Saccharomyces cerevisiae S288C: one gene and its partners. The protein of the gene in region 3 binds, or shares a complex with, the protein of the main gene of each other region. Each region holds a gene or a part of one and is shown on either strand. Other genes may lie near its edges. A codon is read from its position in the direction of its gene.

Region 1 (5,299 bases), on a different chromosome or scaffold from region 3:
TATGTTTAACTTTTTTGAATATAGAATATTAATTAACACGGAATAGGCTATTTTGAGACAGGCATGCTTTTTCAAAACATATCAAGCCATTTAAAATATTTGAACCAAGTAGGCTCAACGAGAATACAATTGGCCTTGGCAAATTTTTTTGCCATCTCCTGCTTATGGTTGAAACCCCAAATATGTGGTAAGTTCCAACTTCTAGTTCCATTTCGAGAAGAAACTTCCAACGGAAACTGTTCCAAGTGTCCCTCAATGATACACTTTCTGCCTTTAATCTCTTTGACGTTTGCTTTTAGTATAATCGTAGTATCTACAGGAATGTCCTCAAAAAACTCTAGCGACAGCCTTGCAGTTACACCTCTTTTACTAGGCAACAAAGGGAAGCCACAATAGCACAATGCTTCATCCAGCAACAATGACAACAAGCCCTTATGGACGTTACCGTCTCGATTCCCTAACTCAGCACCTAAGTGATAAATCACGGTTAATTCACCGTGATTCACATCATGGAACACCAAAGGATCAATTTCAAGCTTCCCCTTGCCGAACAAGAGGCCTTGTCCTACATGATATTCCCTATGCCCGCTTGGTATTTTCTCACTGAATAAGACATGGTGCATCTTCTCATCCTGGGCCAACTTGTTGTAAACCTCGCTTTTCTCGATTTGAGCGAGGATGTCAACCCTCTGCAGCTCCATAGGTTGGCGGCTCTTGGTCGCACTAATCAACTCCGCTGGCGTTTGCGGATCATTCAATGATAGAACACCGGCATCATCGGGCCACGCCTTTACAAACGCACCAACTCCTAATGTAAAACCTGCCGTAGGCAAAATTACTGCCCTGTTGACTAATTTAAATAGAAATGGAATAGTTCTGGACATATTGGAACTCACCCTCGATCTATCCTGTCATTTGGTCATTGTCTATAAAAATAAATACCTTGTTTTATATCCACTTTTCGAAGCGGTCCCCTTTCGGCGATAAAGGATTTCGTAAGCCCGAAGGCTTTAAGAAACTTTGCAGCACAAAAAAAAAAAAAAAAAAAAAAAAAAAGATCATCAACTATGACGCTGCCTGTGTTGTCGCTAGATCCTCATAATTCACTATCAAGTCATTATAGTTTTCGGTATGAGTTATCTGCAACCCATGCTCATTGGCTAAGTGTAGAAGGCATATAAAACAAAAGCTTGTTGAAATGTCCTTTAGTGTATCATCCGAATACATTTTACTTATACCCTGAATGATATCAGAAAACTTGAGCTCCTTTGTTGATTCATCTTCTGTGTGGGTTTCACTGTCATTAGAGCTTTGTTCTCTATTTTTCCTACTGTCATGTTCTTGTATCAAATTGTTGATCGATCTCCATACGTTTTTCTTTAATCTTCTTACGTCAACTTTTTTCGAAACTCTTGAATAAGTAACTTTATTTTCTCGAATGGGGAACTTATGATCTTCGTCATCCTGTAAATCAAGTTTCACACTGGCCTCCTCGTTATCATCTGTTCCTTCGAAAGCTTGGTTGAAGTCAACACCGTCCATGTCATCTTCAAACGGATTATCGAGCGCTCCACCCACCACATCACCAACCTCTTTAGACTGCTCCTTTTCTTTTTCCTCTTGTTCTTTCCTTTCGTAATTATCCGCCCAAAAGTGCTCATCTGCAATAGTAGGAATGTCGTTATTTGAATGGTTGGCAGAAACTGTGCTTTTTTCAAAAAGCCCCGAACTAACGTCGCCTCTGGTATGCTTCCTATGACTGAACAGACTCATTTTCTGCCCCGGTTTAATGAACAATCTTGTTATTCTATCAGTGGAAAAATGGAAGTCATCCGGCAGTAAATAATGTGTGTCGTTCTTTCTGTTCTTAATCGGCATGTCAATCTTTGTCCTTCCTTTTGAGGCAAAGACTTTGTCTTCAAAACTATCATCCGTTTTGAAGAAATCAATTTCCAGAACCTTTTTTTGTTTATGCTTCTTCTTCGTATCCATCGATTTGTCGTCCGTTGTGTTTTTGTCAGTAGTATCTCCTATAGTAGTTCGCGTTTCTTCCAACAGGTCGGATTCTTTATTCACTAAGTTTGCTTTCTTAAAATTTCGTACTTTCCAATGTTCTCTCCCTCTCCAGTTTCTATTTAGATTTTCGTCAAAGTATGCCATCAAATCTTTTTCGAATATACTTCCTGTGGTACTGTTGACATTATCATCATCTTGTTCATCATGTGATGTATTGTCATGATTTTCATCTGGATAGCACAGCTCCTGTTGCATGCCCATATCAAAGCCATCGCTATCATCTTCTGCATTATCTGGGACAGCTGCTTGCAATTCTTCTTCAGTTAAGAAGTTATCAAATCTGTTGTTAACATTTTCGATAAAGTCTTTCGCTTGATTAATATCTTCGACAACGTTCCTTAGTTGCTCAATCGATCCTGAAATTTCACACACCGCAATTTGATCAAATTTTATAAAATCCATACCAAGAGATAAAATCTCATCTTCCATGGAAGGTGCACTAATAACGGAATCATTTACGGTTGAGTCATTACGAGTACTTATCAATGACTGGCTAGGTTCATTTTCGTCATCTACTAAACTATCTCTTTCAATTAATTCTTCTTCTTTCCTTTGAAGTTTACCTTGCCCTACGTTTTGTGTATCCTTAATTGATGCATCGAAAATGACTCTTGCAGTGTTGTCTATGTTTAATGTGTTCAACAATAAACTCTTGGCGCCACCTTCATCGAAATCAACCAAGGCCTTTTTGAATAATGGATCAATTATTAATTCCTGGTCTAGCTCTTTCATCTTGATCGTTTCGAACTCCACCAATGTTGTTTCTAAAACTCTGTTGTACACTCTCCGCCTAGTGTTATTCACATCAGGATCATTAGATATAGGCATACCAGTTAAGGGATCAATCTCTATATTTGCTTCGTCACTGTCACCTCCAAGCCCTTCACCATTTCCCCCGTTACTGTCATCTCCGTTAGATGCCCCATTCGTCTTTCTTTGTGCCAACCCGCTCAATAACTTACCTGTTTCCGTTGTCACTGAATCAACTCTCGAAGAGTAAATCTTAATACACCCATCCAAGGTTGCAGATGCTTTCTGAAAATTGATGTTATTCTCGCCATCTTTCAAAACGTCCAAGTCATAAAAATAGTCGATCAATGCGAAATTCCAACTATTTCGGGAATTGATTTTATTATCTGTAGCCATTTTGATCCATTCTTCAAAATTTGCCATCATGGTGGATCTATTGGTAAAGAGATTATATTCTACTCTTTCATCGTCATCGTTATTTTCATACCTTAGTTGTGTAGTCATCTTATATAACTACCTGCTGGTTTTTTTTGCTCCAAAAAGTCCACTAAGATGATTTTTTGGTGCAATAAATAGAGTATTTAACTAGCCAATATAAAAAGTTCAACCATATGGATATTATCTTGACAATACTTCACTAAAATGTAAACAAAGAAAGCGCGAACAGAGCCGTTTACCGTTTCGCGTGATCAACATCACATAAAATAATTAGTGTATTATATATATATATATATATATATATATGTATATATCACTTATTTTAATAATCCTCTCCTAGCGTACACGGATGGCAAGAATAAACTGGCTTCAGGAACGTTCTCTTGTCAAAAATTTGAAAAGCTTGTAACCGCCAATAGATAACATACCGAGTGTCAGAGATTCTAAGAATTTCAAGATACGTGTTTGCTTTCCAGCCCTTTCTAAAGCTCTAGAATACGAGATATCGGATCTGAAAGATATCATTGTATACAAAGGTATCCACTTATCCTTCATTATAATACTAAAGAGAGCATCTAGCTTTTTCCTTAATAAAAACCGCTTGGATGTAACGTCATGTGACATTTCTTTATAGTTCCTTTTTGCCAGCTCAGTAATAGAAACTAGGTCCTTATGTCTTGTTTGAGTGTACTCAGTAAAGGCTCTTGAACGATCTCCTGAATGCTTTTTCAATAGCGCCATAAGAATTCTCACATCTTCAAATCCGCAATTCATACCTTGGCCGTAAAATGGAACCATTGCATGGGCAGCGTCGCCGAGTAGGATGGCCTTTCCGCCTGGTACATCGTATGGCTTACAGTTTACACAGACAAGACTTTCCTTTGGATAAGTGATAAACCTTTTGACAGCATCGTCCAAATCCATAATATTAATAATATCGGGAAAGTTCTCGATTAAGAATTCCCTCACACGTGACTTGGAAGTTATCAGATCTGATATTTGATCTTTAGAACCGAAAAAGGTTGAAGTGAACGAGCCGTCACTGTTGGCGAGCGCAATTAACATGAATTTATGACGAGGCCAAATGTGCAAATGGTCAGGAGCTATTGCAAAATTTCCGCCATAGTTTGGCTTGAATTCCTCAGTAGGCGGGATGTAAAGTTCAATGTAACGTAAATTCATATATTCTTGTGAAAAATCCATCTCAACTTTACGTTGCATTTGCGATCTCGTCGCAGAGTATGCTCCGTCACAACCTATGACAAAATCATACTTTTCAGTATGTGGGGTTTTCAAATCTTCCCCAATGGCAAAATGACAGATTTGTTTATCATCTGTCCATTCGATTTTGACTAATTTGTGACCGAACTTCAGTTCTGTTGTAGATTTTTCTAATTCGTCCAAAAGGCTATTATTTAATACAGATCTATTGATAGAATTAATAGCTTCTCCATGCAAGCCATACAATTGTGATTCCTGTCTGCCTTTCAAGTCATGAATCATCCTGCCTTTCATGGGAATCATATCTTGCAGAATATGTTCACAAGCATCCGGATCTATTGATTTCAGAGCATCAATGCCACGAGCAGAAATAGCCAAATTAATGGATTTCAAATTTTTATTTTTGGTGGTGTCCAATCGAGGATCTTGTCTAAAATCATATAGTGTGACATTGTAGCCTTCTTTGGAGAATGCCAAAGCTGCAAGGCAGCCTACTAATCCTGCACCTATAATGGCCACTGATTCAGACATATTTTCAAGTTAAACAGATTAACTGACTACGTGATTTTTTAACTGTCATTCAATATTTTATTATTAAAAACAACGTCCGTGCCAGAAATTCGGGCCTTTTATAAGAAATAGTGGCGGAAAAAAGAGTCAGTGCTAAGAATGGAATAAACTAGAGGCTATTGTGGGAAAAAAAAAAACAACTCCAAAATAAAAACCGCTTGCAGGCGATATTTCCTTATTTTTGTAGTAACTCATTTCCTTAGAAGAAAAGTAGGGGCATTATTTACCATAAGAATAATAATAA
Region 2 (10,628 bases), on a different chromosome or scaffold from region 3:
GGAGATCTTTTTCACCTTCGAACTTAGGCAATAAAGTGATCCCTGGAATTAATTTAAGAAATTCATTCAACAAAAATAGGAATAGTAGTTCTGATTTCTTTAGTACAAATCAGGGACAGCAAATGCCAAGAACAAGTACTGCGGGCTCAGGTAATATCCATGCAATAATGGGTTTGGATTCTGGCAATGATGATTTCAAGTTAGAAGGTATTGAATATGCTTCAGAAAAGAAAAACAGCGAATTTCATACCCTTTTCAAGGACTGCGATATTAATCCTAACGAAAAGTTAATTGTCGATCATAGTTGTGCACTATCTCGTGATATTCTTTTACAAGGAAGGATGTATATATCTGATGCACACATTGGATTTTTCTCAAACATTTTGGGATGGGTCAGTACAGTTTTCATTCCGTTTAAGGAAATCGTTCAGATTGAGAAAAAGACTACCGCCGGAATTTTCCCCAATGGTATTGTAATTGATACGTTGCATACAAAGTACATCTTCGCCTCTTTTATGTCAAGGGATGCTACCTTTGATTTAATTACAGATGTATGGAATCAGATCATCTTAGGTAAAAAATATAGGAATGGCTTCGGTAATAATGACGACGGTACGATAAGCGATTCGAGCAGTGCATTTTTTGATGATTCCGATGACAATGACGACGATGGAGACCTGGATGACGATGACCCTGATATTAATAGCACAGATATGACATCTAGTGACGATATTGATGCTGATGTTTTCAATGAATCAAATGATCTTGGTAAAAACCAAAAATCTACGAACTACTTATTGGGTCCCAATAAACACTCTCCAACCACTGCTGATTTCAAACCTTCCAATAATGATCATTTGGTTATTGAAGCAAATATTAATGCACCATTAGGAAAAGTAGTAAATCTTTTATACGGTGAAGACGTCTCTTACTATGAAAGGATCCTTAAAGCTCAGAAAAATTTTGAAATATCGCCAATCCCTAACAATTTCCTCACAAAGAAAATTCGTGACTATGCATATACGAAACCGTTATCAGGCAGCATTGGTCCAAGTAAAACAAAATGTTTGATCACAGATACTTTAGAGCATTATGATTTGGAAGACTATGTTAAAGTGCTCAGTATTACCAAGAACCCGGATGTTCCTTCAGGGAATATCTTTTCAGTGAAAACTGTTTTCCTTTTCTCTTGGGATAAAAACAACTCCACCAAATTAACAGTTTACAATTCTGTTGATTGGACTGGTAAAAGTTGGATCAAAAGTATGATTGAAAAGGGAACATTTGATGGTGTTGCGGACACCACAAAGATAATGATATCTGAAATTAAGAAAATCTTAAGTGATGAAGACTCAAACATAAACTCAAAGCATCAAGCCAGCAATAATGAATCAGAAGAAGAAATTATTAATCTGCCAACTATTGGACCTCCAGTTCATGATCCGACGGAACCTGATTTTCAAAAAGGAAAAGACGATACAGTTATCGATGAAAAAATTAATATACCAGTTCCTTTAGGAACAGTGTTTTCACTATTGTATGGTGATGACACATCATATATTAAGAAAATCATCGAAAACCAGAATAACTTTAATGTTTGTGATATTCCAAAGTTTGTGAATAACGCAAGAGAGATCACCTATACCAAAAAATTGAACAATTCATTCGGTCCGAAGCAAACTAAATGTATAGTCACAGAGACCATCGAGCATATGGATTTGAACAGTTTTTTTATGGTAAAACAAATAGTCAGATCTCCGGATGTTCCTTACGGTAGTTCATTTTCAGTACATACGAGATTTTTCTATTCCTGGGGTGATCACAACACAACGAACATGAAAGTTGTCACCAATGTTGTCTGGACAGGTAAATCAATGCTGAAAGGAACCATTGAGAAAGGTTCAATTGATGGACAAAGAAGTTCAACAAAGCAACTCGTAGATGATCTCAAAAAAATAATTTCTAATGCTAGTTCAACGAAGAAAAAATCGAGGAGAAGAGGAAAGACGGTAAATAAAAGGAAATCATCACCATCCACTATCAAGAATGAGAAGAATGAAGAAAACTTCGAAGATACAAGTACCAAAAATTCATTTTTTTCCGCTTTCTCAATGTTACAACAAGTAAACATAACATCCGTTCAAGGAATTATGACAATTATCTCTTTTTTTATTTGCTTGATTTTCTTCTTTAGATTATTATTCCATTCTAAGAATACTTCGAACATCCAGATTATTACTCCAGGAACAATCTTAATTAATGGAAATGAATATAATTACGTTCCTAATTTTAAAACACTCTATCATGTTTACGAAGATAATATTATAAAAGATGCCCGCCGTAAAGACTCGAATAAAAATAACATAGTCACCGATACGGAGGGTCTCATATGGGACTGGTTGATAGATCGTGGAAATGGAACCGTTCAAAATAGTGTCTTGTCCAATCATATTAAGGAGAGTAATAACAAGAAGGTTAAGCTCGTAAATGGAGTTAGTGATCATAAAATACAGCAGCTAGTTGAATCTATAAAAATCACCGAATTGCAGCTGCAAGAAATGAAAGAATTATTGGCCCAAACGGATAACACGTCGGCTACTAACCAATTACTTTGATAAAATAACATTTTTCGTTCTAATATAGTCAAGTAGGAAAATTCTACTCGACTTTATTTTGTTCTTTTGATCTTATTTCTTTTACTTTAATTATATATAGGATATTTTCTTAGGATAATTGTAATAAAATGCATTAATAGTTTTATATGTCCATTTCTGGTGCATTACTGGACATAATTTCAGTTCCTTTCACCAAAGAATTTATAGCCTTGGAATATTTCCATAATTTGTCCCACCGGGTAATGTGCGTAATGCAATAACATATAGCATCTATATCTGGTAAGCGTAGAAGAATTAACAAACCTAAGAATAAAATACAAATATGTTTACAACCAAAAAATCAACTTAAATAGATGAAGAGCTCGCATATCAATTTTAACAGACCTCGCTGAAAGACTCTGAATCCTTATCTTCTTCATCTATGGACATTGCATCTGATTTCTCGTCAGGTAAAACAAAACTTACATTTTTTGCTACAGTTGACGTGTCTTGAATACTCATGTTTTCCAGGTTTTTGGATGTGTCAATTTGCTCCGCTTCTGATCTCGTTCTTTTCCTTGAGTTACTTTGCTCTGTTGTATTGTCAACTGCCGAAATATTAACAGTTGTTTTAGTCAATTCTGTGTTATTTCCATCAGTTATATCAGCAGCGTGTTCTATGGTGTCATTTGAAGATTTATTGAATGAATTCCCCAAAATAGACGAGTATTGGTCATTCGCAGTGTTGTTCTCATCTTTTGTCTGAGTTTCTGACCTTTCATTGATCTCTTCAATCAGCGAATTCAAATTATTCCTTAGCTTGTCCAGAGCATTTTTGCTAACATTGTCTAAATTATCATTTTCTGCAATATCGTCAGAATACTCAAGAAGTTCTTTCAAAGTAGAATAATCTTGTTCAGAAGAAAGAAATATAGCGTTTATATTAGTGATGATCATCTTCTTTATTTCTTTCTTCTCAATTTGAGCGTATATTTTGAGCACATCGATCAAGAATGTAAGCTGCACTGTATCTTTTTTTGTTGAACCTGTCTGGTTAACTAAGTTACGTGGATCAGTCCAAAATAGCAACTGTTGAAATATTATGTTAGGCTTTAGCATAGCTTCACGGTCTACCTCAGGTATTACAGAGCTCTGTAAATCGTCCCAAAGAACACATAGTCTTAAGAGTATGTCCGCAGCCGTCCTAGACATACGTTGTTGATGAGCAGGATGTGAAAAACAATAGACTGGAATGCAGAAGGCAAATGCCTGTACCAGCGCTTCGTTTGAGGAATTTATCGGCGAAAAATATGACAAAACCAACGTTTCAAACAAATCATCATCAGTGAACACGTCTGCCAAAAATAGTTTGCATAAACCCTCCGCTGCTATCACCTGACATTCCGGTAAACCGTTATTCTTTAAAACCTTGTAAAATATTTTGTGCAACGAGATTGAGTCAACTTTGCCTTCTCCGTCTACCACAGTGTTCCCATGTACGGAAAAAATATCTACAATGACTTGTAACGCAATATACTTTAATGATGCATTACCTTTCGAAACGCACATACCTAAGATGTACATGTTATCAATAGCCAACTTCACATCCAAGAGACAACATAAACCAAGGTTCTTGACACCAAGCTCCCTAATATTTGGCGCGGTATTTCTAACCGCTGGTGTGATCAAAGTGTCCATCAACGACGCAATTAAAATGTTTTCTGTTAACGGTGTGTTAACTAGTTCTAGCATATATGATGACCTTGTAAGACAGAGAACAATTGTTGCTGAGGACGCTTCCTTTTCGGGTGGGAGATTATTTATTATGTCACTCTCAGATACGTTGCCGTTTCCCTGCACTAAGTTTTCTACAGCAGAATGGAAGGATGAAATATTGTCGTCTTCTTCATCCTCGTTAACTTCGTCATTATGTGTGCCGTTTTCGTCCTCTTCATCGACGGAAGTCTCATTTCTGCGATTAATCTTCTTGCTTTTTATTTTCTCTTCTTGTTCTTGTTTTTCAATATCGTCGTCTCTAATATCATTAATGATTTCTATTGCCATTGTTACAAAATCTTTTTCATTTATGGACAGACTTTTCATTACACGAATACCAATTTTAATAAGAGGTTCGGAGAGTGTAGTTAAGGCCAGCATATTTCGTACCACTGTAAGCATCGATCTCCTTCCAACCTCATCGCTATAATCATACCTTTCGGCGGCAATCGATAGTTGCTCAATAATAAACTCTAAAGTGTTATAATCAAAATGCGACTGAGAGTCATTAGAAATGTCGTTGTGATGATATCTGAGAAGAATATAATGGTTTAAATGCTCGGATAATTTTGAGGCTTCTGGAAAGTTTTCTTCCAGCATTTCTGTTATATTATTATCCAAACAGTACAAATAAATAGCCCGAAAGAGGAAGGCAATTTCTACGGTAAAGTCTTTCCAAATACTTTCAGGAAATTTGATTTTAGATAATATATCTGGCCTTGATTGAAAAAGTGCTTCTATAGCCTTAACACACACTGAGGATCTTGAGACATCCAATTTTTCTAGTAATTCTATCAAATCGCCATCCAGAGCATTTAACCAATCATGAGCAATGAGTCTCTTACACGCATTTCTCACTGATAATTCCCTATCTTCTAAACCCCACTCAATCAATTGATCAAAAATATGCGGCTCAATATCATCGAAACACTTTCTTCCCATTGATTTCAAAATTCTCGAATACACGAGCCTTCTATTAACGATGTTTACATCTCTAGCCCTCTCCAAGATATACGGTCTAGTATTATTATCATTGATCAAATTCAGCATTGCAGCCCTCCGTACTTCAGCTGACGGATCGTTCTGGATAGAAGCAACTAGAGTTCTCGTAGCTTCAAAATTTTCTTCATTATCAGAAAGCTCAGTTAAATGTTCAGTTTGCTCTTCATCCTGAAATTTAGTTAAACAAAACACAGCCTGTATCCTAACCGTTGGTTCTCTATCATAAATCCTCTTATTTAAAGACAATATTAATAAATTGAAAAGTGATTCATCGATTTCCCCTATATTATCCATTATAACGGCTAATAACTGTAAAACTCTAAATCTGACGTTCTTGTCAGGGCTTTCCACACCACGCAAAACATGTCTTATGAACTGATCGACGAACCTTGAGAATATCCCTTCTTCATCATTCGTGAGCTTATAGTTTTGTTTTTTGGCCAATATCAACTCCCTTTCTAAAGAAGCTATAAATGCAGCTACTAACTTTACTATCCTGTCTCCGATAATCTCATTCTTTTTCAGAGGAAGGATCTTAGTAACTAATTTATCGAACCAAAAGTTAAAAGCATCTTCATAGCCTTGCTCAACAGCCTTTGACTGAATTTTCTTCAAAACTGCTATATGCTTCCTGTGTCCTGCATAAGAACCCTGTGCCTTTTGAAATACTTCAGCAACTGAGTTAAAGATTTTCGTATTAATGTCAATACCATCAGGATCTTGCATGATGGGCGCGGCCTGTTAACTTCTTTGTCTTATCCAAGGCTGTAGGCATTACTGAAGTGTTTTTGTTTGATCTTCAAAGAGCTAAAAAGGTAAACAAACACGAAGGCTCTACCCTTTCATATGCGGTGCACGGATTTTAAAAGTCGCAATAACTCAAGAATACGATAGATGCAATAAATCAGAGGTAAAGTGCTTTAGGCTAATACTATGAGCAATTCAGTATAACCTGCATTATCTCCTTGTTTTCCTTTGTATCCCCCATGATTTTTTTTTCTTGTTATTCCTCTTGATACCATATTAGGCAGGATTTTTTTCAAAAAACCAAATGAAAAATTTTCAGACTGACAAGAAAAAAGCTACGAATGAGCTCATCGCTACTTTCAGTTTTAAAAGAAAAGTCAAGAAGCCTGAAAATACGAAACAAACCGGTGAAGATGACCAGTCAGGAAAGGATGATAGTGCATAGATGCAGATTTGTGGATTTCACTCCTGCCACAATCACATCTCTAGCATTTTCACATAAATCAAATATAAATAAGTTAACTCCGTCCGATTTGAGATTAGCTATTGGTAGATCTAATGGTAACATAGAAATCTGGAATCCTAGAAACAATTGGTTTCAGGAAATGGTTATCGAAGGTGGCAAAGACAGATCAATTGAAGGCCTTTGCTGGAGCAACGTTAACGGCGAGTCTCTAAGGCTATTTTCTATTGGCGGCTCGACTGTGGTAACAGAATGGGATTTAGCAACAGGTTTACCATTAAGAAACTATGATTGCAATTCAGGTGTGATATGGTCTATTTCCATCAACGATTCACAAGACAAGCTGTCTGTGGGTTGCGATAATGGGACGGTGGTCCTCATAGATATCTCTGGCGGGCCTGGTGTCTTGGAACACGATACTATTTTGATGAGACAAGAAGCCAGAGTATTGACTTTGGCTTGGAAAAAGGATGACTTCGTGATTGGTGGTTGTTCTGATGGTAGAATAAGGATTTGGTCTGCACAAAAAAATGACGAAAACATGGGTCGTCTATTACACACTATGAAGGTCGACAAGGCCAAAAAAGAATCAACTCTAGTTTGGTCAGTTATATATTTACCAAGAACTGATCAGATTGCCTCTGGTGATTCTACAGGCTCCATTAAATTCTGGGATTTCCAGTTTGCCACGCTAAACCAGTCATTTAAGGCGCACGATGCAGACGTACTGTGTCTAACTACCGATACTGATAATAATTATGTTTTTAGTGCTGGTGTGGACAGAAAAATCTTTCAATTTTCTCAAAACACTAACAAATCTCAAAAGAACAACAGATGGGTAAATTCTTCTAATAGGTTGCTTCATGGAAACGACATTAGAGCAATATGTGCATACCAATCTAAAGGTGCAGATTTTCTAGTTTCAGGAGGTGTTGAAAAAACACTAGTCATCAACTCACTTACTTCTTTTTCTAATGGAAACTACAGGAAGATGCCAACTGTCGAACCTTATTCAAAGAATGTTTTAGTTAACAAAGAGCAACGCCTTGTTGTTTCATGGAGCGAATCTACTGTTAAGATATGGACAATGGGAACCGATTCTAGTACAGAACAGAATTATAAGCTAGTTTGCAAGTTAACTTTAAAAGATGACCAGAATATCTCAACTTGTTCTTTATCACCTGATGGACAAGTTTTAGTCGTAGGGAGGCCCTCTACCACTAAAGTTTTTCATTTACAGCCCGTAGGTAATAAATTGAAAGTGACTAAACTAGATAATGACCTATTATTGAGAACTTCCACAAAATTAGTCAAGTTCATCGATAATTCCAAAATTGTCATATGCTCTTGCGAAGATGATGTATTTATTGTGGATCTAGAATCTGAAGAAGATGAAAAACCGCAAGAAGTTGAACTTTTGGAGGTTACTTCAACTAAGAGCAGTATCAAAGTTCCCTATATTAACAGGATCAACCATTTGGAAGTAGACCAGAACATTGCAGTAATTTCTCGTGGCTGTGGAGTCGTAGACATATTAGACTTAAAAGCAAGGATTTCTAAACCACTTGCTCGTTTGAATAATTTCATCACCGCTGTTCATATCAATACTTCTAGAAAATCTGTAGTAGTAATTACTGCAGACAATAAGATTTATGAATTCAATATGAATTTGAATTCGGAAGCCGAGAATGAAGATAGCGAAAGCGTATTAACTCAATGGTCAAAAAACAATACGGATAACTTACCAAAAGAATGGAAGACATTAAAAGAGAACTGTGTAGGGATATTTTCAGACATAGAAAATAGTAGCAGATTATGGTTTTGGGGGGCTACTTGGATATCAAGAATAGACTTTGATGTTGACTTCCCTATAAATAAGAGAAGAAAACAGAAAAAACGTACACACGAAGGGCTAACTATCACAGATGAAAGTAATTTCATGAACGACGAGGAAGATGACGAAGATGACGATATTGATATGGAAATCAGCGAAAACTTGAATGTATTATTAAACCAAGGAAACAAAATAAAGTCCACAGATGTACAAAGAAACGAAGAAAGCTCCGGTCACTTCTTCTTTACTGATAAATATAAACCTTTACTGTTTGTTGACTTAATTTCTAGTAATGAATTGGCAATAATTGAAAGAAATCCATTAACTTTTCACTCCAAACAAAAGGCGTTTATTCAACCAAAGTTAGTGTTTTGATTAATTTAAGTCAACATACCGAAGAATAGAGAGATGCTATTAAAAGGCTATCATACTCTAAGGGCATTTTTCAGTTACAAAAAACTCTAATGGCGTTAGTACTTTATAGAAACTCGCTAATGTAAAATAGCCAAGCACATACGCAGACATATATATGTAGTAATCACGTATGCAGACATTAAATGTGAGCCATTTATTGGTATAAATGTATTCCTGAATTACAAAAGTACTGGCGATGGAATCACTCTGGCTATCACTGTTATTTCCAGGCAGGGTAATACTTTGGGAAAACAATAGAATAATGAAAACATATGATCAGTAGCTAAATTGACCGACCTAAAGAGCAAAGCCGGATCTCATGGTTTTTAAAGGGATATCACCGAATTTCCTGGCGACTTATCTATTATGGATCTTGAAAATGTTTCATGTCCCATTTGTCTAAGGAAGTTTGATAACTTACAAGCACTAAATGCACATTTAGATGTTGAGCATGGGTTTAACGATAATGAAGATTCACTCGGTTCCAATGACAGTCGTTTAGTCAATGGTAAACAAAAAAAGGCCAGATCTGTTGATAGCAGTGCGCAAAAGTTGAAAAGAAGCCATTGGGAAAAATTCAAAAAAGGGAAGAGCTGCTGTCACACATGTGGAAGGACTTTGAATAACAATATTGGCGCCATTAATTGTAGGAAATGTGGTAAACTGTATTGCAGAAGGCATCTTCCTAATATGATTAAACTTAATCTTTCCGCACAGTATGACCCCAGAAACGGGAAATGGTACAATTGCTGCCATGATTGTTTCGTCACAAAACCTGGCTATAACGATTATGGCGAAGTAATAGATTTAACACCAGAATTCTTTAAGGTACGAAATATAAAAAGAGAGGACAAAAACTTAAGGCTATTACAATTAGAAAATCGGTTTGTCCGTCTAGTTGATGGTCTGATTACACTCTATAACACATATTCTAGATCCATTATTCATAATTTGAAGATGAATAGTGAAATGTCCAAGTTAGAACGTACAGTTACTCCATGGAGAGATGATAGAAGTGTACTCTTTTGTAACATATGTTCCGAACCATTTGGGCTATTACTAAGGAAGCATCACTGCAGATTATGTGGTATGGTTGTTTGTGATGATGCAAACAGGAACTGCTCAAACGAAATAAGCATAGGTTATTTAATGTCTGCAGCGTCAGATCTGCCATTCGAATACAATATACAGAAGGATGATTTACTTCATATTCCTATATCCATAAGATTGTGCTCGCACTGTATCGATATGCTATTTATTGGCAGGAAATTTAACAAGGACGTTAGAATGCCGCTAAGTGGAATATTTGCTAAATATGATAGCATGCAAAATATATCCAAAGTAATTGATAGTCTCCTGCCCATTTTTGAAGACTCATTGAATAGCCTGAAGGTGGAGACTGCCAAGGATTCTGAAAATACACTTGATCCAAAGAATCTGAATGATCTCGCTCGATTAAGACATAAATTACTCAATTCTTTTAACTTGTATAATACACTAACAAGACAGCTCTTAAGTGTAGAACCTCAAAGTCATCTAGAGAGACAACTTCAAAATTCGATCAAGATAGCTTCCGCTGCATACATAAACGAAAAAATCCTACCGTTGAAGTCGCTTCCGGCAATTTTGAACCCAGAGGGCCATAAAACGAATGAAGATGGGCAAAAAGCTGAACCAGAGGTAAAGAAATTATCGCAACTAATGATCGAAAACTTGACCATAAAAGAAGTGAAAGAGCTGAGAGAAGAATTGATGGTCCTAAAGGAACAAAGCTACCTTATTGAGTCCACAATTCAGG
Region 3 (10,385 bases):
CTCCTTTAGGGTTTTCTCATGGATTGAAGAACACTACAGCAATTGTTGCTCCAGGGTTTTCGCTGCCATACTTCATTAACTCTTTGAAAACCGTCTCTCATGATGGTAAGTTTCTTTTGAATGTTGGTGCTTTAAACTACGACAATGCTACCGGCTCTGTCACCAACGATTATGTAACCGCATTGGATGCTGCTTCCAAGCTGAAGTATGGTGTCGTGACTCCGATTTCCGCTAACGAGGTACAAAGTGTCGCCTTACTGGCATTGGCGATTGCCACTTTCAGTAATAACTCCGGAGCTATCAATTTATTTGACGGATTAAACTACTCGAAAACCGTCTTGCCGTTGGTCGAATCTGTTCCTGAGGCATCTATTTTGGCAAAACTATCCAAAGTTATTGCACCAGATGCTGCCTTTGATGATGTCTTGGATAAGTTTAATGAATTGACTGGATTGAGACTACATAATTTCCAATACTTTGGTGCTCAGGATGCTGAAACTGTGTTTATCACTTATGGGTCTTTAGAATCCGAATTGTTCAACTCTGCGATTAGTGGTAATAATTCCAAAATCGGGTTAATCAACGTCAGAGTGCCATTACCTTTTAACGTTGCTAAGTTTGTCACTCACGTTCCATCCACTACCAAACAAATTGTTGTTATAGGCCAAACTTTGGATGGTTCTTCGCCTTCTTTCTTGAGATCTCAAGTTTCAGCCGCCTTATTTTACCACGGCCGCACCTCAATTAGCGTTTCTGAGTACATCTATCAACCAGATTTCATTTGGTCCCCAAAAGCTGTCAAATCAATTGTATCGTCATTCATCCCTGAATTCACTTACAATGCCGATTCATCTTTCGGCGAAGGATTCATTTATTGGGCCTCTGATAAGAGTATCAATATTGATGTTGCCTCCAAACTTGTGAAAGCTCTGTCTTTGGAAGATGGGAAATTTGTGTCTTTGAGAACGAAATTTGATAACTTGGCTAATGCTGGTACCTTCCAAGCTCAATTTGTGACCTCGAAAGAACAGATACCTGTTTCAAACATCGATTCTACGAAATTATCAGTCGTTGAAGATGTCAGTTTATTGAAGCATTTAGACGTAGCTGCTACCGTCGCAGAACAAGGTTCAATTGCGTTGGTTTCCCAAAAGGCAGTTAAAGATTTGGATTTAAATTCTGTAGAAAGTTACGTCAAGAATTTGGGAATTCCTGAATCATTCCTAATATCTATTGCGAAGAAAAACATCAAATTGTTTATCATCGATGGTGAGACCACTAACGACGAGTCCAAATTGTCCTTGTTTATCCAAGCCGTTTTCTGGAAATTGGCCTTCGGTCTAGATGTCGCAGAATGTACCAACCGTATCTGGAAAAGCATTGATTCAGGTGCAGACATTTCAGCAGCCTCGATTTCTGAATTTCTCACTGGTGCATTCAAAAACTTCCTCAGTGAGGTTCCGCTAGCGCTGTACACTAAATTTTCTGAAATAAACATTGAAAAGAAAGAGGATGAGGAAGAGCCTGCAGCTTTACCAATTTTCGTTAATGAAACATCTTTCCTCCCAAATAACAGTACCATTGAAGAAATACCATTACCTGAGACCTCTGAGATCTCTGATATTGCCAAGAAGTTGTCCTTCAAAGAGGCATATGAAGTTGAGAATAAACTAAGACCCGATTTACCCGTCAAGAACTTCGTCGTGAAAGTTAAAGAAAATAGACGTGTTACGCCTGCTGATTATGATAGATATATTTTCCATATTGAATTCGATATTTCTGGTACTGGAATGACTTATGACATCGGTGAAGCCCTCGGTATTCATGCCAGAAACAATGAATCTTTGGTCAAAGAATTCTTAACCTTCTATGGTCTAAATGAATCCGATGTTGTCTTAGTCCCCAACAAGGACAACCACCATTTGTTAGAAACAAGAACCGTCTTACAAGCATTTGTGGAAAATTTGGATATTTTCGGTAAACCACCAAAAAGATTTTACGAATCATTGATTCCATATGCCTCTAACGAAGAGGAGAAGAAAAAATTAGAGGATTTGGTTACTCCTGCCGGTGCAGTAGATTTGAAGAGATTTCAAGATGTGGAGTATTATACATATGCTGACATTTTTGAATTGTTCCCATCTGTTCGCCCATCTCTTGAGGAACTTGTTACTATCATTGAACCATTGAAGAGAAGAGAATACTCAATTGCCTCCTCTCAGAAAGTTCATCCAAATGAAGTTCATTTATTGATCGTTGTTGTTGATTGGGTGGATAATAAAGGAAGAAAAAGGTACGGTCAAGCTTCTAAGTATATCTCAGACCTTGCTGTCGGTTCAGAATTGGTCGTTAGCGTTAAACCATCTGTTATGAAATTACCACCATCTCCAAAGCAACCAGTTATTATGAGTGGTTTAGGTACTGGTTTGGCACCATTCAAGGCCATTGTTGAAGAGAAATTATGGCAAAAGCAGCAAGGTTATGAGATTGGTGAAGTCTTCCTATATCTAGGTTCAAGACACAAAAGAGAAGAATATTTATATGGTGAGTTATGGGAGGCTTACAAAGATGCAGGTATTATCACACACATCGGCGCTGCTTTCTCAAGAGACCAACCTCAAAAAATTTACATTCAAGATCGTATCAAAGAGAATTTGGATGAATTAAAAACTGCAATGATTGATAATAAAGGTTCATTTTACTTGTGTGGCCCTACTTGGCCAGTTCCAGATATTACTCAAGCTTTGCAAGACATTCTGGCTAAAGACGCCGAGGAAAGAGGCATCAAAGTCGACTTGGATGCCGCAATTGAAGAATTAAAGGAAGCATCAAGATACATTTTAGAAGTCTACTAAATTAATATAGTAATAAAAACTAAATATCTATTTATTGAACCTGTCTTGAACATTTCTATTTTTTTTTTACTTTTAGTTTTCTTCTATGCGCAAGCTTTTCTATTGGCTGCCAAATAGAAAATTATTGAAATATGATTACATTACAATATTTATTTGTCTTATGAAAACTAACCATCACATTATACTAACTACGGAGGTACCATCTTGAAATCTCGTCCTGAAGACCCTATTAGCATTGGCAAACATACCTTCTTTAAGCGAGACTACAATGAACTGAGATCCTTTAAACCTTGTTTTAATCAAATGACCTATATTTTGCGTATGACTTAAATCAAGAGCAGCATCAACTTCATCCAAAATATACATAGGCGCTGGTCGAAATTGCAACAATGCCATAATCAATGACAAAGCAATCAACGACCTTTGCCCACCGGACAATTCAATCAAACTTTCCTTCCATATATTACCAAGCTTTACTTTAACCTCTAAACCCTGCGTTACGTCCTTACCTTCGCATGGAACCAATTTTGCAAATGAATTTGGTAAAAGGTCTGCAAAAATATTACCAAAATCAAGTGTCACTTTCTCCCATGTTTTGACTAAAGTTTCTCTTTTATATTCGTTCAACTTCGATATAGTCTCTTGGATTTTCATCTTATCTTTTTCAATCGTTTTAATCATTGTTTTTAATGCTGCCTCCTTTTTCTCAACATTTTCTATCATATTCATAATATTTGGATTAACTTTTTTTCTGAGCTCTTGAAACTTCTCGTTCAATTGTTTACTCCTTTCTCTGTAAGTATCCAAATCGATACCCTCATTTTGTTTGACGATATTTCTCACCAGATCAAAATCCTCAAGAAATTCGTGTTTCTGTCGCAGATCTTCAATTATCTTTTCCATGTTGTTCGTATTAGACTTATATTTGTTCAAGTCATGGACCAATTTTTGTAGTTCTAATTCACTGCTTTTTTTCTCGTCCTGTTTTTTCTTTATCAATGTTTCTAATTCATTTAGTTCATCATCAATGTCCATCAACCTTTTCTTTTCTTCGTTCAGTTCTGTCTGGACTGTTACAAGGTCGTCTTCAACACCTCGTATCTTTCCCTCCAAATCAGAATTTTCCAATTTCAAACTTTCAATAGATTTCAAATGGTTATGCAATAGCGTCTTATTAGAATCTAGTTCTGAGCTCAATTGCTCTGTTTCTAATTCCAAGTTTTGAAACAAGTCATATTTACGTTCTGACTCCGATTCCTGCTCCTCCAGCTCTTTCGCCAATAGTTTCAATTCCTTCTTTAATTCATTTAACTTGGATCCTTTATCGCTATCGTACTCCTTCATGTCTTTTTCAATGGTCGAAACTTCTTCTTGACATTTCTTTAAGCTCATTTGCTTGGTTTTGATTTCATTCTCACACTCTCCAATGTCCCTCAAAATTTCTTCATTCCTAGCAATTATTTGGGAAGATGGATTCGCGTCGAGATTACGCTTAGCCAAATCCAATTTATGCAACGAGAGATTTAAATCACTTTGAATGGTCTTTGTTTTTTGCGATGTAGCATATTGCGTCTGTAGCTCTTCCGTTACATGGTTGAGATCAGCCTGAATGGTCTCAATTTGTTTTTGAATTTGATTGTATTTTTGAATATCAACTAATAACGATTCAGAGGTATTTCTACTACCACCAGACAATGTACCCTCTGGGTCGTATACATCACCTTGAAGGGTGATACTTCTAGCGCGGATCTTTGGATGGAAGGTAATTTTCTTTGCTGTTTCCGGATCTTCACAGATTAAACTATTTCCAAAAATAAATTCCATCGCTTTAGTGATAGATTCATCAAACCTTATTAAATTTATTGCCAATTCAACTTTCCCAGGAGCAATTTTCTTGGCTAAATCAAGCACTTGAGAACTTATTGGCCTCGTATATATCTTATCAAGAGGTATGATGGTAACACGCTTGCGTAATCTTCCTCTTTCTAATAGCTGAGTGGCCGTCTGAGAATCTTGAACAACAACATTGAATAGCCTACCTCCGGCACAAGTTTGCAAAGCAGTAGCATAGCGAATATTATCATTATCTATCTGGAAAAGTTGACCCACCACCCCATGGACAAAGCTGGCTTCAAAATTAGGATAAGGTTTCGTATAGTTAAATTCCAGATTTGTTACGCGTCTTTTTAAATATTCAGAGTTCTTACATGTTTGATAATAATGGCTCTTCAATTTATCCTCTCTTTGCTTCAGGTCTTTAATTCGTGATGGATCAAACCCATATTCGACTAGTCGGGCTCGTAGTTTATCGCACGTTTCTTGGCATTGTTTAACATGCTTCACATTTAACTCGTTATCTTTCGTGGCCTCCTTTAATTTAGGTTCAATTGTCAATAGCTCTTTCTTCAACAACTCCATTTTCATGCTTGATTTTTTTATCGCCAAGGAGACTTCATTCAGCTCAGTCTTTGCCTTGGCCAACTGTGCGTTATAACCACCGTCTGCGGCACCGGTCGAGGAAATACCTGTGGTTAAAGTGGAAACTAATTCTTCTTTTCGTTTATAAAGATCCCTTTGTTTACTGAGTTGTTCCTGCACCATTTTATAATCCTTTTCAGTGTTAGCGTATGCCGATTTTTTTTCGATTAGCTTTGCAGAGGAACTTGCAATTTCTGACTCCAGAGCCTTTGATTTTTCAGTAGTATCATTCAAATTTTCTACTTTTATCGACAGTGAAGTTTTCAAACGAGAAATTTCATTTAAAAGACCGTTCTCCTTATTTTCCAACTTGGAGATTGTGCCTTCTTTGTGTAGTTCTTTTTCTTTCTGAAGTTTGATTTCCTCGACATCCTCATTCAAACTGTCTATTTCTTCGGAAGTTTTCTTAACAAATTCATTTAACATTTTCATACGAGTCTCACCGTTCTCCAGAGTTTCTCTTATTGATGTATGTTTATGTTTAATGTTATAGTATTCATAGGATACAACAATTCGTTCAGTTTTTTCCAAATCAGTCTGAGTAGACTGAAATTCTAGGAACATTCTCTTTTCGTTTCGAAGTTTTTCCAGTTTAGGTTCGATCTCTTCAGTTAACAGAGTCCTGTTCTCCTGTAATTTAGTTTCTTTCTTAGACATTGTTCTTTCTGCCTTTTCCCTACGATCCTCGAACATTTTTGTCCCTGCTGCCTCTTCAATCAGTGATAAGATCTCTGAGGGTTTCATATTCAAAACCTTGGTAATTTTACCTTGCATGATTAAAAAATTAGGATTATTGATATTTAACTGCACGGATTGAAATAGTTGCAAAACCGACTGTTGAGGTGCCCTATGCCCATTTATCAGATATTTAGAAGTTCCACCAAGCACGACTTGCCTTGTAACAGAGATTTGAGGAGAGTTAGTGAACCCAATGGGAGAATTTGATTTATCGGTATTATCAAAAACAATGGTTACGCTTGCCTTGGTAACACCTGCTTGACCACGCTTATAGATCAAATCTTGCAGGCTAGATGCTCGCACAGTGCTCATTGATGCTATACCGAGCACGAAGCAAATGGCGTCCAAAATGTTCGACTTACCGGACCCATTTAGACCTGTAATAGCATTGAATTGAGGGTCCCAATCAGTAATGACTGTTCTTGTAGCGTATGATTTGAAACCATCAATAATCAATTCCTCTACCTTCATGCGGTAACGATACTAAAATTGACTTGTATTTACGTGGTCTGCCTCGAGATTTCTTGACTGCACCGTGTGTTTACTGTTGTTGATCTTAAAATTAGAAATGCCCATCATCAGAGCCACGCAACACGGTAATCACTATAAACGCGTAAGGCAGAAAGCCATTTTATTCAAGAAGTCAACCCCCTCCATGAAGCAATGCTTCACAGGGGAGAAGGGGGGAGCTTATGAGAGTATATTAAAGTTTACTTTGAAGAAATATTCTATTACTACAGAACAAAATCTAATTTAGAAATTTTTCTTTAAAAATAAGTGTTATGTTATATTGTATTGTTTGCTTTGAGGAATTTTTTGAGTTATCTTTTTTTTTTTAGATCTTGCTTAAAGAATGACTATTTTACATAATCTAATCTTGGGTCTTTTGAGAACCACGTAACAAACCAGTTCTTCTGGCGGCAATCAAACCGGCCTTTTGACCAGAAACAGCACCTCTAGAGATGGTAGAAGCCTTACCAATATGTTGATGGTTACCACCACCGTGAGGGTGATCAACTGGATTCATGGCAACACCACGGGTCTTTGGCCAAGAGTTTCTCTTCAATCTGTACTTGTGGAAAGCACGACCAGCCTTCAACAATGGTTTGTCAACTCTACCACCACCGGCAATGACACCGATGACACCTCTGGCATCAGAAGAGATAACCTTCTTGGCACCGGATGGTAATCTGACTCTAGTCTTGTTTTCGTCTGGGTTGTGACCGATGATAATAACGTAGTTACCGGAAGCTCTGGCTAGGGCACCTCTGTCACCTGGCTTTTCTTCAACGTTGGAGACAATGGTACCTTCTGGGACAGAACCCAATGGCAAGACGTTACCGACGTTCAAAGAAGCCTTCTTACCGGCGTAAATGAATTGACCAGTGTGGACACCTTCGTTAGCAATAAAGATTTCTTCACGCAATCTGTACTTGTATGGGTCACGGAAGACAACCTTGGCCAATGGGGCACCTCTACCGGAGTCGTGGACAATTTGCTTAACGATACCACGAATGTAACCGTGACGTTCAGCATAATCCAAAGTTCTCAACTTGGCAGCACCTTGTCTCAATCTGGTGTGGGAGGTAAAGATAGAACCAGCACCCTTTCTTTGGTTACGAATAACTCTACCTGAATAAAAAATAATGAGAAAAAACACAGTTCTGTTAGTATACACGATACATTTTCAACAAAAGGAATAAAAAGACTGTAAAAGGGTGTGATGACATTGCGCCATTACGACAATCACATGGTTGTTAAATCACGGTGCTGACATACCCATTGCTTATTGATCTAATGGTTTCTTAGTTTGCTCAGAAATGGTTATTAGTCGCTAAAAAATGACCCAATAATAAAAAAAACGAGGTAATGATATTGAAGGAGGGGAGGGGCAGGGTTCAATCGATTATGCCTATGCGATAGTGCATTGCGTAGTAATCCATAGGTTCACATCCATGTGCACTGGTGCTGCGTTTGGCAATTCCCATACTATTCCAGATTGATCTGATCGTGCAGAGCAATGCCAAACCATCGACCGTAGGCCCAACGGTGAAACAATACGCGGAGAACGCTTAGCCGCTAGGCAGAACGCCTAGTTTACACAGTGGGAGAATGAGGATAGGCCTCTGCCTACGGTACCTTCGAATACAGGGAAAGTGGGAAGAGTGAGCTGCCGAAGTGAAAGAGGCTTACGCATTTTTTCTTTGGGAAGCGGACGCAGGACTAAGCTCATCATTTTCGAAAAAAAAAGAAAGTTGGAGCCGGAAAGGAATTGGGTGTTAAAAATGTACGGGTGAAAAAAGTCTTATTTTGTCTTAAAAGGGGTTCCCCCAGCCGCAAAAGAAAAGAAAAGAAAAATAATAGATCAATTTTAGTTTACTTAGCAATAAACGAATATATGTATTTTATGTTAAGTTCTCACTGTTTATACCCCCTTTTCAATTTTATAAAGATCTAAGTAGCAGCCACGGTTGGACGATCGGAAGACGAAGCAGGCGGAGGTGGGACATCATTGGTTTCCGCATTGTCTTGCCCTTCCTGCACTTGCTCCGCTGGCTCTACTGGCGCTGGCGCTGGCGCTGGCTCTGCCAATGCTGCTGGAGGTGGGTCGCGCGCATTGGTTAAGTTGTCCTTGACCAATTGTTTAATTTCTTGAATCTTAGAGACGTAAGCGGGCTTCACTATTATCGATTTGCCCCTCAAAGTAGCTGTCTTGGCCACACTGTCACAAATGTCCCCAATTGGGGTTTCAGATTGCAAAGTGACCAAAGCGGCAGTAATTTGGTGTGGAGCAAAAGGAATACACTTTCTCCTGTACACCTTGGACCTGTAAATCCAGATTTCTTGAGGCGAGTAGAGCTGGAACAACTCACGGATCTCACTGTCGGTTATATCGTCTGGCAGGTCGTGACAGTAAACCGTATCCGCGGCAGTCTCTGGTGTCTTCTTAACCTTATTTTTTTCTTTGGGCTTCTTTACATCCGTGTCTGGAGTAGAGTCTGCCTCGTAAGGAACGTGTAACTTTAGAAATAGTTTCTGATTTTGGAAAACGGTTCCGTTCAAGTCTTGAATGGCCTTCAAAGCCAGAGTATTGTTTGCGAACTGGGCAAATGCTATGCCTAGTGGTTTGCGAGGGTTGCTATTGTGCCTTTTGCTGAATCTGCGGACGGTCTGCGTTGGAATCAACACTGAACTGGCGCCATAGTTGTTTAGGAAGGCATGTAGGTCTCGCTCACTCGCCGTGAATGGCAGGTTCGAAATGTAAACTGTGGTAATGGTAGTGGTAGTGTCACTGGTAGTGTCATTGTTAACTTGTTCTGTCATTGCGGGCTTGTTTGTATGCTTATGTGAGGCCTTATACTTCTCTATGTGTTGCTACTCAGTAGAAGGTCAACACCATTGTTTTATACATCATTTATCTTTTGTTATTAATTTGTGACGCTTCCATTTTGTGGCACATAAGGAGGAAAAAGAAAATTAAAAGAAAAAAAAAAAGAAATAAAAAAAGAAAACGGTACTGGATATTGAGATAAATTTTCCTTCAATTAAGATAATAAAACATGTTATATAAAATCAGACAAAATAATATGTAAATTTTTAACGTATTATAATCTTAAAAAGTTTATTTCTTGGCAGCAGCCAAAGCCTTAGCAGTGCCGTGTAGGGCATGCTTGTGGTTTCTTCTAAACTTTGGATCAACACCTTTCAAAGAAGGGTACTTGTAGGTCTTTGGCTTCTTGATACCGTTTCTGTGAGCCTTTCTGGTTTGGTTGTGAGCGGTATGGTTCTTAGACTTAGCCATTTTCTGGAGAAGACGATGAATGTACGCAGAAATTGCGAATGGTCATTAAAGGTTAGTAAAAATGATTCATAACGGTGGAGGGGAGTAGCGTGGCAGCTAACTGCCAATCTGAAGTGGTGCTAGCGGGGGCAACTTCGAACAAGGGTATGCTAAAGGTAATTGAACGTTCGAGAAAGAGCGTTCGCTATAAGTTCAAACACTGGTAACTTTCCATTATTTTCCCTTCTCTCTTTTTTTCTTTATATCCTCCACTATATGCCACTCAGCGCACCTCAGATTTGGCTACCTGCATTTCCAATGGGCGAAATGGGGACTTCATGATAATATAACGTACTTTCTAACTGTATTGTTGTTCCGGGGTTCTTGAATATTGAATGAAAAATGTTATAAAATAATGGGTTGAATCTTGAAATATGCAGTATTGAAATATTCTGAAATTGTATGTATCCAGAGATTATGGCAAAGCCTAAAGGGAAAATGGTAGACTTCCTACATTGAGAATATCGCTGGTT

The links.
Region 1: the proteins of SMC2 (region 3) and BRN1 are in contact, whole or in part, in a cryo-EM structure (PDB 6YVV), measured with the Saccharomyces cerevisiae proteins. Residues at the interface, in NP_116687.1 of Saccharomyces cerevisiae: Ala169 (codon at 6,038), Gly170 (codon at 6,035), Thr171 (codon at 6,032), Lys172 (codon at 6,029), Glu175 (codon at 6,020), Arg178 (codon at 6,011), Glu179 (codon at 6,008), Glu182 (codon at 5,999), Met185 (codon at 5,990), Ser186 (codon at 5,987), Glu189 (codon at 5,978), Arg196 (codon at 5,957), Leu199 (codon at 5,948), Ile203 (codon at 5,936), Lys206 (codon at 5,927), Leu207 (codon at 5,924), Asn992 (codon at 3,569), Lys995 (codon at 3,560), Met1003 (codon at 3,536), Lys1005 (codon at 3,530), Thr1006 (codon at 3,527), Lys1009 (codon at 3,518), Asp1010 (codon at 3,515), Met1012 (codon at 3,509), Lys1013 (codon at 3,506), Glu1016 (codon at 3,497), Lys1020 (codon at 3,485), Tyr1024 (codon at 3,473), Lys1025 (codon at 3,470), Glu1027 (codon at 3,464); in NP_009455.3 of Saccharomyces cerevisiae: Trp49 (codon at 3,186), Ile54 (codon at 3,171), Phe57 (codon at 3,162), Tyr58 (codon at 3,159), Leu60 (codon at 3,153), Leu63 (codon at 3,144), Glu67 (codon at 3,132), Asn68 (codon at 3,129), Asn69 (codon at 3,126), Ile70 (codon at 3,123), Phe72 (codon at 3,117), Gln73 (codon at 3,114), Ala75 (codon at 3,108), Ser76 (codon at 3,105), Leu79 (codon at 3,096), Asp80 (codon at 3,093), Cys82 (codon at 3,087), Ile83 (codon at 3,084), Tyr86 (codon at 3,075), Ser87 (codon at 3,072), Arg89 (codon at 3,066), Val90 (codon at 3,063), Val93 (codon at 3,054), Thr94 (codon at 3,051), Thr97 (codon at 3,042), Leu100 (codon at 3,033), Leu101 (codon at 3,030), Leu104 (codon at 3,021).
Region 2: SMC2 (region 3) and YCG1 share a complex: the UniProt entries of both Saccharomyces cerevisiae proteins name them as parts of the condensin complex.

What each region holds. Positions count from the first base shown.
Region 1 is NC_001134.8:38,862-44,160, reverse strand, and holds BRN1 (condensin subunit BRN1), read right to left. Parts: upstream 3,331-5,299; coding exon 1,066-3,330; downstream 1-1,065. Other genes in the region: MRX3 (Mrx3p), read right to left, coding at 72-884; BNA4 (kynurenine 3-monooxygenase), read right to left, coding at 3,634-5,016. UniProt on the Saccharomyces cerevisiae protein: Regulatory subunit of the condensin complex, a complex required for conversion of interphase chromatin into mitotic-like condense chromosomes.
Region 2 is NC_001136.10:1,112,596-1,123,223, reverse strand, and holds YCG1 (condensin subunit YCG1), read right to left. Parts: upstream 6,099-10,628; coding exon 2,991-6,098; downstream 1-2,990. Other genes in the region: YSP2 (Ysp2p), read left to right, coding at 1-2,615; small subunit rRNA maturation protein UTP4, read left to right, coding at 6,461-8,791; PEP7 (phosphatidylinositol-3-phosphate binding protein), read left to right, coding at 9,197-10,628. UniProt on the Saccharomyces cerevisiae protein: Regulatory subunit of the condensin complex, a complex required for conversion of interphase chromatin into mitotic-like condense chromosomes.
Region 3 is NC_001138.5:213,565-223,949, forward strand, and holds SMC2 (condensin subunit SMC2), read right to left. Parts: upstream 6,543-10,385; coding exon 3,030-6,542; downstream 1-3,029. Other genes in the region: MET10 (sulfite reductase subunit alpha), read left to right, coding at 1-2,855; 60S ribosomal protein uL2 RPL2A, read right to left, coding at 6,943-7,703, 7,851-7,854; RRT5 (Rrt5p), read right to left, coding at 8,526-9,395; 60S ribosomal protein eL29 RPL29, read right to left, coding at 9,694-9,873; MIN10 (Min10p), read right to left, coding at 10,146-10,385. UniProt on the Saccharomyces cerevisiae protein: Central component of the condensin complex, a complex required for conversion of interphase chromatin into mitotic-like condense chromosomes.